Linked DNA regions of Drosophila melanogaster. The protein of the gene in region 1 purifies or fractionates together with the protein of each later gene. This does not show direct contact. Each region holds a gene or a part of one and is shown in the gene's direction. Other genes may lie near its edges. The genes, in order: RfC38, CG15047 and CG3548.

What was found.
Region 2: the proteins of RfC38 (region 1) and CG15047 purify together in Drosophila melanogaster (affinity purification with mass spectrometry, with the first as the bait; one large-scale study listed by BioGRID). This does not show direct contact.
Region 3: the proteins of RfC38 (region 1) and CG3548 purify together in Drosophila melanogaster (affinity purification with mass spectrometry, with the first as the bait; one large-scale study listed by BioGRID). This does not show direct contact.

What each region holds. Positions count from the first base shown.
Region 1 is NT_033779.5:11,128,432-11,132,612, reverse strand, and holds RfC38 (replication factor C 38kD subunit), read left to right. Parts: upstream 1-1,967; 5' UTR 1,968-2,441; coding exon 2,442-2,501; intron 2,502-2,611; coding exon 2,612-3,622; 3' UTR 3,623-3,681; downstream 3,682-4,181. Other genes in the region: CG4751 (uncharacterized protein), read right to left, coding at 1-160, 243-491, 557-726, 851-938, 992-1,349, 1,410-1,748; Nup160 (nucleoporin 160kD), read right to left, coding at 3,687-3,806, 3,880-4,181.
Region 2 is NC_004354.4:18,526,890-18,530,157, forward strand, and holds CG15047 (uncharacterized protein), read left to right. Parts: upstream 1-1,793; 5' UTR 1,794-1,822; coding exon 1,823-2,347; 3' UTR 2,348-2,704; downstream 2,705-3,268. Other genes in the region: CG15042 (uncharacterized protein), read right to left, coding at 55-1,365.
Region 3 is NT_033778.4:24,597,913-24,602,893, forward strand, and holds CG3548 (uncharacterized protein), read left to right. Parts: upstream 1-2,034; 5' UTR 2,035-2,135; coding exon 2,136-2,473; intron 2,474-2,548; coding exon 2,549-3,068; intron 3,069-3,196; coding exon 3,197-3,700; 3' UTR 3,701-4,455; downstream 4,456-4,981. Other genes in the region: CG13587 (uncharacterized protein), read left to right, coding at 83-521, 579-921, 987-1,179; ATPsynF (ATP synthase, subunit F), read right to left, coding at 1,341-1,585, 1,705-1,783; CG3565 (uncharacterized protein), read left to right, coding at 4,610-4,981.

The sequences.
Region 1 (4,181 bases):
TCAGAGCGCACCTCCTCGGGTATCTCCTTGTCCGGCAGCACCGAATACTGCATCAGCATTGGACGGCCATACTCCATGGACTGTCTGTTCTCGTTGGGCGGAACAATCCAAATACACTTGACCACCGACTCCAGGGTAGGGTTTTCATCGTAGTAAGGGGCTGTAAGATAAAATGTATTATTCGATTAAGGCTGAGATGAAGTATTTGCGCAGAATTTAAAAGGCCATTGGATAACACATACATATAATTAGGGAGACACAGGGCGTATAGGTGAGATCGCTGGCACCGCGCATTTTGATTTGATAGTCCAACTGTGCATCGCAGTCGCGCAACGTAGGTTCCGCCTGAAACTTGGGATGCGAGTGATACCATCCAACCAACAGCAATTGATCCTGAATCATCATCTTTTGAATATCACGCTCCACTTCGCCGGCTCGCTGTCGATCAAAGCGCGTGCTGCGACAAGGATATGTCTTTGTGATGGATAGAGCTGAAATGAAAAAAACATGTAGAAAATGCCTATGCAGTATAAATCGCAAGCCGAGCCGGACTCACTGTGTGTGTTCATGTCCCAGGTGCCACCTAGATAGCCGCACACCTCACGCACCGTCAAGTGGCAGTGAAAATCCGCCAGCAAGAGGGCAGAGGAGTTCACTGTAATGAGGAAGGGCTGCAATTTCCCCACCGAAGTAAACGGCACCGATTCAATCAACATGTTGGCGTCGCTGTGGATAAATAGAATTGGATTAAAATACCATCCAGCATATAGATTTAAACTAAAAGCAAGCCAGACTATTCTTTTAAAGAACCAACCCCCCTCAAAATTCAGTACGCATTTGGTCTACTCACTGTACTACGTTGCGATTCGAAACGGTATTATGTGCGAAAACGGTTCGCTTGACGACAATCTCCGGGGTGTCAGTCTTGCGTTCAGCATCTATGGATTCGATGGAATTAGCAAGGATTATAAAGCAAGTGAGCTTTACCTACCCAGTTCACAATCATCTAGCGGCGTCTCCTTTTGCAACGCGCACTTTCGCAAATACGTGTTCTTGTAGGCGTCCAGCTTCTTTCCCTTGTACTTGACCGAGGCCCAGCCGCAGCCGCTCTTCTTGTCCGGATTGATGATCCGCTTGCAGTGCATTGCCCAGGCGCTGGGCGTGAGGAATATTGTCTCAGTCTCATGGGATTTGATCTTACCGTCGGCCAGTAGATCGCCAACGAACTTCTGGCCCAGATATTCGATAGTCATTAAGCCCAGGCCCGGCTGCAGGACATTGGCAGCCATCAGCGTTTGCAGTGTGACGGTGCGTCCGGTGCCATTGAAGCCCTCGTAGTTCTCCTTGGTCTAAAGGGTTTGAATAGAAAATATTATACATTTTCAAAAAGCTTAAGGTATCTCGCTCACCTCATCGTCGTTGTCCTCGTCGCCAGCATCGCTATCCACATCCTTGTCGCACATGTTGTCCTCCAGTATGGCTACAGGTGCTGCACCATCCGTGGGCGGTGGCCCAGGGTCCGGAGTGACGTCCACAGCTCCGGTCGTCGCTGGTGCACGCTCCCCCTCCTCCGCTTGCACCCCTTCGCCAACACAATCGTTTGTTATTTGCAGTGGCGGCGGCGGCGGCGGCTGCAGCACCTCCCCCTCCACTTCACCGTCACCATCACAGTCTCCCTCGCCATCGGAACTGCTCAGCACCTGGTTCTCGCCTGACTCGTCCACACCATGTTCCACTCCGTTCTCCATGCGTTCTTGTCGCGAATTCTGTGCAATTCTACGGATATTTTACTTCCAAGATACTTAAGTTTTGCGAAAAAAAACTGATGGATGCAGTAAGGTAGCTGCTTTTTCTACCCAGAATACCGAAACTCATTAAAACCGCCAACCCACGGTCACACTTGCTAGCGGTCCAATTTTAACCGGTAAAAACGGAGGAATGGCGTTGCCATACATAACATGAGAAGCATTGAATCGGTTATTTATTACAGAAACACAAGAAATGTTTTTGTTTTCAAATGTTTATTTATCATAAAAGAGTTCAAGTCTTTTAGGCATTTTCGTAATCATTTATTTTGAAATCCATTAATTTTACTTGTTTTATCGTTGGTTTTAGTCGTGGCACGAAAACAGTGTAAATGTAATAATATTACTTTAAAATTAATTTTAATTGTGATCTGTTAAAGTATTTAATTTTTTAAATCATTCAAGCCGAAATAATCATTTGAAAATATGTGCGTGGCAAATTTAATGAAACCTCTAAACATCGATATCACAGCGTAGAAATCGACAATAATCATCAAAAACATCGAAGCTTGCAGCATTACTAGAAATAGTCAGCGGAAAAGGCGCGCATTAAATTGTTTTGTTAAATTACTTTTACGGTCAGAAAGTAACTTAAAATACATCCAATTACTATCGTATTTTACATGCGTTAACGAAATGGCACTTTGGGTGGATAAATACCGTCCGCGGGAGCTGTCCAAATTGGACTTCCACAAGGTAAATCAGCGAGGAAACCGGCGCATACATCTATATAGCTGGCCCATATATTAAAGTATCTCTTTTTAAAAAGGTTTTTTATTTTATGATTTTTGCTAATTTCGATGCAGGATCAAGCGGAGAACCTACGCAACCTTTGCAAGCAGAGCGATTTTCCTCATCTGATGTTCTACGGACCCTCGGGTGCTGGCAAGAAGACACGCATCATGTGCCTGCTACGGGAGATGTACGGATCCGGCGTTGAGCGGTTGAGGAGCGAGACCATGACATTCACCACGCCATCCAATCGGAAGGTAGAGGTGATGACGGTCAGCAGCAACTACCACTTGGAGGTGAATCCCTCCGACGCTGGCATGTACGACCGCACGGTGGTGATCGATCTCATCAAGCAGGTGGCCCAGACGCATCAAATTGAGATTAGTGGCCAACGGGAATTCAAGGTGATTGTAATTTCGGAGGGCGACGAACTCACCAAGGATGCCCAGCACGCCCTGCGCCGTACGATGGAGAAATATGTGGCCACGTGCCGGATAATCATATCGGTGAACTCCACATCTCGGATCATTCCGGCCATACGGTCGCGTTGCCTGGGCATACGGGTGGCGGCTCCCAACGAAACGGAGATCGTGTCCATCTTGCAGAACACTTGCAAGCGGGAGGGACTCGCACTGCCCGTGGAGCTGGCCAAACGGGTTGTGGACAAGTCGGAGCGCAATCTCAGGCGAGCACTTTTGATGCTGGAGGCCGCCAAGGTGGCCAAGGCGCCGTTTACCGCCAATCAGGAGATTCCCGACCTGGACTGGCAGGTGTTCCTGCGTGAGACAGCATCTCAGATTATCAGTGAGCAAACGCCTGCCAAACTGGAGAAGATCCGCGAACGCCTGTACGAGCTACTCACGCAAGGCGTTCCACCTAATCTCATATTCCGCGGCCTGGTCGAACAGCTGGTTAACAATTGTGATATGTCCATCAAGGCAAAGACGCTCGAGTTCGCCACCGAGTACGAGCACCGGATGCAGTCCGGCGCCAAGCACATTTTTCATCTTGAAGCGTTCGTCGCTCAGTTTATGAACATCTATAAAAAGTTCCTTTCTGAGCTGGACATGACGGATGATTTTTAAACGATTTACACGCTTTAGCATTTAATTCAAAAAACTTATTAAATAAACTGATTTAAACGAACTATTAACGTTCTTCCTGAAGATCCGTTCGCATCTGCAGAACGGCCATGCTCATCTTATCATCGGTGGTGCGCTTTATGGTCTCAATATATCTTTGAACTTCTTCTTCGAGTTTAAAGTAAGCCTAAAATAGGAATAGATTTGGAATATGATTGGAATGTATTTTGAGTAGAACGAAATTTATATGTATGACTTACCATTTCATAATCAAGATCATCCTTGCCATTAATCTTTAAACCGTGCAGCAGCAAATCGATCGTGCTGATGGGGAAGCAGAGCTGTGGGTTTGCTATGTTCACCGCGTGTTTGAATTCGAAATACTCGCTACCTGCTCCCAGCATGCCGGCGATTATTTCACATCCCAGATCTGCGGCTTCCAGCAGACGATTGTGTTTCACAAGTAAGTGGAGCAGTTCCCGGGAGTGGGATAACTTGTAGGAGTTTATCAGCCACTGGGGCAAGAAGGCGTTTAACCCGAGAAGCCTTTGAACCACGCTCT
Region 2 (3,268 bases), on another chromosome or scaffold:
ATGCATTTCAAATGGAATGTCTTATGAAATACATTCTTATTGTTTTCAAATACATCAATTCGAATAATAATCGTCAAACAAGTGAATCATATGGCACTCGTGAATATGTTTCATTAAACGAATCACATATCCACCGTCTTTCAAAATGTTATGGATGCGAACATTGATATCGCTTCGTAGTACTGTGTGCTCCAGATGCTTTATGCCCTCTAGGATGTTTATGTAAGGTATGGGACACTGACGGCGTGTTCCCAATATTTCAAATCTAAAGGCCAGATTGTGCTGGGCTTTCTCCAGCTCATAGCAAAATGTTAGATTTTTCTTGCTTGTATACTCGGTGATGCCGAAGTCCAGAAAGTAGACACGGTAACGGCAGCGAAATATGTCAACGATTTTGGCGCGATGATATCGCCCCTGATATGGGGCCAGAACGATGTCCCAGACGCGAAAATCACCTGTGCCCCTTTTCATAACACTCTTGCTCCACGTGGGCACTGTTGGTCCATCAGCGAATCGGGCGTAGAATTCGGCATGGCTAACGATCCTGGTGACATGGACGCGTACAATGCTACCACGTTCGCGACGCTTGGGTCTATATCGTGCAAAAGATTTGGCCACTTCCCGATCGTTTGCATCCATATTTCCGTACTCATCGCCCGAAATTGGTGGTAGTTGTGCGGATGGAATCTTCCGAATGTTGGTCCTATTCCTGATCAGGGCCACCAACAGTTCAAGGCCATTACTGCCGAGGACGCGCAGTCTAACATTTTGGGTAATAAATATATGCATCTGGGCCACATTGACCAGGCGGCATTTGATCGTTAGCGCCGGCAGCTTCTTGAGATCATCCGGCAGCGCGAAGATGCGCTCCATGCCGGACATGTTGGTATATTTGGCAGCGTCGATCATATAGGCACAGTAGCCCATGGGGTGAACGGGGGCATTAATGGCGATGCGAGAGATGCGATTCTCGGCCTTGTCGTAGAATGCAAAGATTTCGCCATAGTCGGGCAGCTGCTCCAGTTCCTGCAGTTGCACCTGCCCCATGGCTAGACATTTCAAAAGCTTGGAGCCCGGTCCATTGATGGTCACGTAGAAGACCGGCAGGCTCTCGAGCAGCACGGTGCCGGTTAACTTGGTGCCTATCGCAATTTCACCGATTTGGTCCGTGATCTTGTAGAAGGTTCCCACAACGGACCGCATGTGACCGCCATGGGGAGGATATAGGCGGCTCTTTCGCGGATTCCGCGCCAAACTGCTTAGGATCTCCTTTGAGTTGACGCACTTGGGGACCGCCCGGATGGGCTGAAGCAGGCAGCTGGGAATGGATTCTGTTTTCATCAGATTGAAAGTGCCTCCTTCCATTTTATACAGATGTGCTTATAATTTCAGGGAATAATTTAAACTACATATTGCCTTGTCAAAATGGAAGACAGTATCAGGGTAGCACTTCTTATCAAAATATCTCAAATAATATCAAAATTCTTGTTTGGAACTAAATGTACTTTATTTTGTGAAGTGAATAAAAATTGTTAGATTTCACCATATACTTAATTGTACGTAAATGATTCATGTTGCTGATTATGCAATGGCACTACAAATAAGTGTCAGTTTAGTAAGCTTTACTTTTATTAGCAATCAGCATGTGTCCTTGTTCCGCACTGTACTGAAAAGTAGGACCGTACTTAAGGATTTACCTAAAATTCGGCCACACAACAGTTAAATTAGCTTTCTGGGTTCGAAACCAAATGAGAGGGGTTAAAGAGGGGATCAGCTGATTTTGGCTAGATATCGATAGTGACGCCAAAGTTGAGCTGCGGAAATGTCGCAAGTTGAGCAATTGCATCTGAAATCTCCGCCAGAAACGGCTGCAGCAGGAGCAGGATCTCCTCAAGCAGCCGCTTCGGTGGCCGTGGCAGCCGATGCCAACGAAACGGAGCTCATGGTGAAGGTGGTCATGGACATGGGCTATCCGGAGGGCGAGGCTCGCTTGGCGCTGGCCCAGAGTAACAACAACGTGCAGCGGGCGGTGCAGATCTTGGTGGAGGGAATGGATGACGGCGAGACGCGCAAAAGGCGTGGCAATCGCAAGCGATTAAGGCAACTGCGCAGCTCCCTCATGGGGAATCCACTTGCCACGGATGAAGCCATCATCGAGATGATGCGCGATCAGAGGATCGCACAGACGCTCGCCGAGTTGGTGAACGGCAGCAGTGTGCAGGCCATGGAACTGCTACTGTCCGAGGAAGTGGATGAGTCCGAGAACGAGCAGCCGGAGGAGCAGGAGCTTGAAACCAGCCAGGAGCAGTCATCCTCATCTGCCGATGACTCTTCGCCTAGCAACTGAAAGGGAAACCAGATACTAGTTAGTACTGCTTACATCTTATAAGTTAAGGTATAGATATATGAGAAGTTTAGTTTTCAAGTCTACTGTTAAGTTAAAACAAGTTCTTCATAGTTACGTTTTTAGTTTGCTATTATGTTTAAAAAATGCCCTTAACTTTATAGTAAGTGTATATCAGAGTAATTAATGTTGATATTAATCCACCATGAAGTCTAACGAAGATTTCCATGTTAATTTTGTTAATTTTGTTTTCATATCTAAAAAGTGTCATCAATTTAAAAGTATACTTATATTTTAGTTTATTTTCAATTGTGGAATTTCGTGAATATTTGCATTAAATATATTGCTAAGCTGTTAGTGAAGATGAATCGTCGTTGTTACTTTTGGAAAACTTCTTTTTGGAACTCCTAATCTAATTTTTTCCATAATAAATAGGCAAACTATAGAATTTTTTAAAGAACCTAACAGTTAGAAATAAGTACCATTATTTTTGTAACATTATTATTGTCAATTAAGAGCAGTATATGGGGAATCAGGGCAGTTCGAGGACGAGGATGTTACCTGATGTGCTGGTCCCTAAAATGTTTGGGTTCAACCCCAGCCATCGGGAGACATTAAATGCATTAGGGCCACCCAGGCCAATTTTCCCCCGAGCACTTTGTTGTTGTTTTGGCGGATATGACTCCGGTCAAGGAGCGGAAGAAGCCGGAACTGAAAGCAACAGCAACAGCAACCCTGTGGCAATAGCAATGCGCAGCTTGTCAACCCTTTTCGGCCCGATGATTAATGATCGCTCTTTTATTTTTTCTACTCCAGCGTTTTGTACTGATTTCAATTTACCGCCTTTGCTCACCAGTTCTTTGGCGTAGATTGGAGTACATATAGTGCATCCCTTGGATTGCCTTGGGCAAGGGGTAGAGGGGG
Region 3 (4,981 bases), on another chromosome or scaffold:
GCACAATTTCAGTGTGATATGTCAGTGGAGATATGATCGTAGATACGTGAGATTCGGATTCAACTACTCCGAGTTACTTCCAATGGCGCCTGCCGTCCTGTTTCTTGTGTTTACCTACCTGATGGGTGTGTCGAGGGGCTCCTTGAACTGCCCCACTGGGAAGTTGAACCCGCTGCAGTTCCACCTGGTTCGCCAGTGCCAACGAGCTGCAGCTGATGAAGCTCTGGCCCTGGAAAACACATCCTCTCTGAAGGAATGTGCTGATCTGGCGCATGATATGCGTGGGCTGGCCTTGAACTACGCTCCAGGAGGACCGAAAAGGAGGCTAAATGCATTTGATCAGAGGTCCTTTGGCAAGCAGGGCGACAAGGAGCAGCGCATTCGAAGTCGTTTGAGTGTCTTCGAACAGCCAGGGGAGTTCTTCAACTGCCACGTCCTGAAGTGTCCTCAGAATAACACATTTTCAGGGATGGTCAATGACAGTCGCTTCGATTACTACAGCTTATATGGAAGGCCAACAGGTTAAATGAAGTATCTAGCGTATCTGTTTGGTTGAATAATTTTGTGGTTCTTGCTAGTCGTAAGGAACTACAGCTGCATACCGGAGGTTGGGCTGTTCGTGGTGTATACTCAGCCTAGTGCCTACTTGAATGCCTCACTGACCTGTTCAAACTCCTCGGAGTTCACTGGTAGTCTGGCCCACATCGCATCCGAACACAGAACCAGTTTATTGGCCCAATGGCTAGTGGAATTCAACAGGAAATCACAGTCTCTGGCAGAAGGTAATGTCTATCTGGCCTATGTGGGTTTGGCCTACAACAGCTCAACGTCATTGAGCCCACTGGACTTCAGGAACTCCCAAGGGGAGAGCTTGCAGTGCTTTCTTTACAGAGCCTGGGATGGTGGTCATCCTCGAGTTGGGTAGGCTGACAGTTTATTAGGTTAGCCGCCAATGCTATCTTCTCTAAATCTAACCGAATTTGCAGTGGTGATCTGGGCAACGCCAGCTGCGTGGCCTTGACGCCGCAGGGAACCTGGCAAACCCTGAACTGCGACCGGGAGCTGCCCTTTATCTGCGAAATCCACACGGCCCGGTCAACTTTCGGCTGGGAGCAGTCCAGTTCCGAGCTGGACATCGGCCCAAATGCAGTCTTCGAGTGCGGAAGAGACCGAGTCTGAGTCTATGGCAGCATGGATATTCGCAGCCGTTTTATTCACTTAAGCAGTTTTCAAAACACAAAAGCCAAATAGATATAGTTTAGTGGTGATTGCCCGCCTCTCGCACGCCTTGTGGAAAGTGTAGAATCTGTTGCAGATGCAGGACCACCGGGCAGCGCCGCTTAGTGGTACTTGTAGTTCCTGTGGTGCTTCAACTTGGTGTAGTTAATCAGATAGAAGAACGTCATGCTGGCGACGGTCAGCTGGAAGAAGGGAGCGATCCCGGCGCGCTTTGGGAACACGTACTTGTGCTGCCAGCGCCACCAGGCACGGCTCACAGCTCCGGCCACAGCGTTGGGGGTCTTGTTGCGGCGTCCCAGCCAGGCGCCGATCTCGCCCAGCTTGACCTGGCCGAAGGGCACATCGGCTGCGGATCGGAGAGAGCGGAGAGGTCGGAAAGTTGTTTAAATTATGTAAAACGCTGCACATTTTTGGGCAGTGCAAATGTGCTCTGTGCCTGCCGCAAAAATTACGTAACCTGCTCACCTTTGCCGTAGAAGCGAGCGGGGTCGTAGGGCCCGTGCACCTTGGGGTTGTACTCAGCTGGATAGTCACCGAATGCCATCGCGCTGGTTTGGTTGAGATATATTCTTAAATCGGATTCTTATGAAACATAAAATTACGCCTGCTACTTACTTCCTTCGATACTGACAGTATGACCAAAGCGGCGAGAGCTGGGATTTTCATCGACCAATATACCGAAATATACTATGTGCGAATTTATTGTGTGCGTCTCCGCTAACAGGGAGGATGTATTCGCTACGTCATCGATACAGCGAATATATCGATGCCCGATGCACGATGCACTTCTCACATCACTAAGCTCCAGTATATACAGAAATCAAATAGGATTTTTGCAAGCCTGGGCATTCGAATCAGAATCCAGCCAAAGCGAATCCAGTGTGTAAACAAAAACAATGAAACTGGAGGAGTTGCTGACCAAGGGAGCCTCCTCTCCGCCGGAGGACGACGACGAGGACGAGAAGGTGGAGCTGAAGCCGCAGAAGTCAAGCAGCGCCACCGCGGACGAGGGGGCGGAGAACGCGGAGGATGCGGCCGAGGATGCTGGCGAGAAGGAAGGCGCGGGTGGCAAGAAGAAGGGCACGCGCAAGAAACGCTCCCTTAACTGGGAGGAGGCGGAAAGGGGGCTGCTCCTTGAGGTCATCAAGTCCAAGGTGGCCTTCGTGGAGAACCGGAGCGTGGACGCCAAGAGCATAAAGGCCAAGCGTCTGGCCTGGTCGCAGATCACCAAGCAGTAAGTTGCGCCATTGGGCAGTGGAGCTCGTCTTATAATGGCCCTTCACTCCTTCCATTCCAACCCCCCATCCAGGTTCAATGCCCTTAACTTCCGCCATCGCCTGCTGGAGCAGATCCAGGTGCAGTGGCGCAGCATGAAGAACTCCGCCAAGCGGGAGCACCAGCAGAAGCATCCGAAAACGGAGGCCCTGGAAGGCATGCGGATGATCGAGTTCCTGGAGGAGATGCAGAAGGATCCGGTCACCTCGCGCAGTCAGACACGCAGCGCGAACACAAACGGCGCTCTTAAGAAGGAGCTCATGGACATCGACGAGGACGAAGACATGCCGCTGGCCGCTCTGCCCAACTCTACGAACGCCAGCGAGGACACGCTGCAGACCTCCACAATAGCCATCCCCTCGCCGCCGCCCTCCACTGCTGGCGGAGACGGGGACTCCCAGCAGGAGGGAAATCCCGCCCAGCTGCCAGCCCAGCGACGCAAGCGGACCAAGGCCAAGCAGTCGCCCTCGGGCGCCAAGACAGAAACGTCCGGCGAAACGGGGGAGGAGAACGAAAAGGGCGTAGGCCCACCACGAAAGCGGCGACAAAGGAATGTGAGTTTGAACACAAGCCGCAAGTTTATTTATTATTATTAATTAAGGTTTAGCTGAACAAGTTGCAAATTTTTGTGAAGGGGAATCTTAATCTTTCTTACTAATAATACTATCTCATCGTTAACCAGCTCTCACAGGCCCAGTCGCTGCTGTCCGACGAGAACGAAGCCTCCACCAACGCAGCTCCGAGCGCCACCCCAGTTGCAGACACAAATAGCCAGTCCTTAGATTTGGTCGCCGCCACGGAGATAGAGCAGAAGTACAAGCAGGACCTGTTTAGGCTGCTCAAGCAGGCCCGTCTGGCCGAAATCGACTACGCCCGGCGGGAACACGAGCAGAAGCTGCGCTTCGAGCAGATGGAGCAGGAGGTGAAGATGGCCTACTACCGGCAGGAGCAGGACCTCAAGCTGCGGCACATGCGCGAGGAGCACGACATCCGGCTGCGGCAGCAACGACGGGAGCACGAGGCGCGCCTGGGGATCTACTCGCTGAAGAGCGGTGGCCTGAACGGAAGCATACAGGATCAGAGTTCAGCAAAGTGCAATGCCAAAGCGGACTACAACAATGTCCACGAGGTCGGGCCATCGACCAGTGCGGAGGGGGCGCTGGCGCTCAATGCCGCCTGCAACTAGGGGCGTGGCTGTTGGCCCATATGCATATACAATACGAAGAGAGCCAGCAATTAGGGTGTAAGGCATTTAGAGGAAACATCAACAGTACTTTAAAATTTAGCTTGAAATATGTTTAGCGAAATGTAGCTCTTCCGGTCAGCCAGAGTAACCGGAAACGGAAACGTAAACGCCGGACGCGCATACAATACTCATCGACACACTCAAGTTGCCACTCGGACGAATGGACTGTTGTTTATTGTGCAATTCGCACGAGACGAACTCACAGGCATTGCATTTTCAAGAAATTAGTATTACATAATTGTATCCGTATCTGTTAAGTACTCCGGGCGAAGAGATCAATTCAAAATGCGGTTGTGTCGTCGAAAAAAAAACAAACTCGAAAATACTCATGCACAGACTCTGAATAAGTTCCCCTTTGCAGAACGCAATTTACTCATCAGTCAGTATTCTCTATGGCCACTGTATTATTTTTATACCTTCATTTGTTAGCTTTAAGTTTTTTTTACACAACTACTACTTATACTTGTGCTGCCACCAGTTGGGCTGCCGTAGTTGCAGATCAATGTATCCATTGTCCATACATTGCGAGAATCTTTTATAATTCGTCTAAGCATAAGTTACTGTACGTCGTGTTGTATAGCGCTGTAATATCCTGTCACCTGCTTCTGCTTAATTAATACCCTATATCGGGCGAGAGCAAGGTACGATTAAACCATTAGATAATGAAATACAAATACATAGTGTATAAACAGATGAACGACGTGCGTTTAAAGGGGGGTTCTCCGATCTCTCAGTCCCCGAAACAGGAATCAAAGTGGGCAACTCTGCAAATGCTTAGTATTTAAAAATCAAGGGTTCTATCAATATATTTCATCCACTTGAACTTTTAGAAAGCTGTGATAAATCGAAATGAAGGACCTGGACGGCTCCTTGGACACTCTGGAGAATGCCCGCTTCAACTACGTGTATATGAAGGACATTGCTCGCCTGGCAAAGGACTCGATCTTCTCGCATAACGAGCTGATTAGCATTGTAATGCTCTACCATAAGTTTGTGCTGGTCAATGGGCCGAGAGCAAAGTACATGACCATTCAGCAACTCTCTGCGCTGATGGAGCTCTTGTTTGAGATCGTGGATCGCGATCTCATTGCGACCATTGTGTATAGAATAGCCCATACACCAGGTTCCAGGCCTCCTGACTTCTTTTCCGACAAGCATATACACTTGGAGTCCTTTGTGCGGCTTTTCACCGTATACTTCACCAAAGATCTTCAGCTGAAA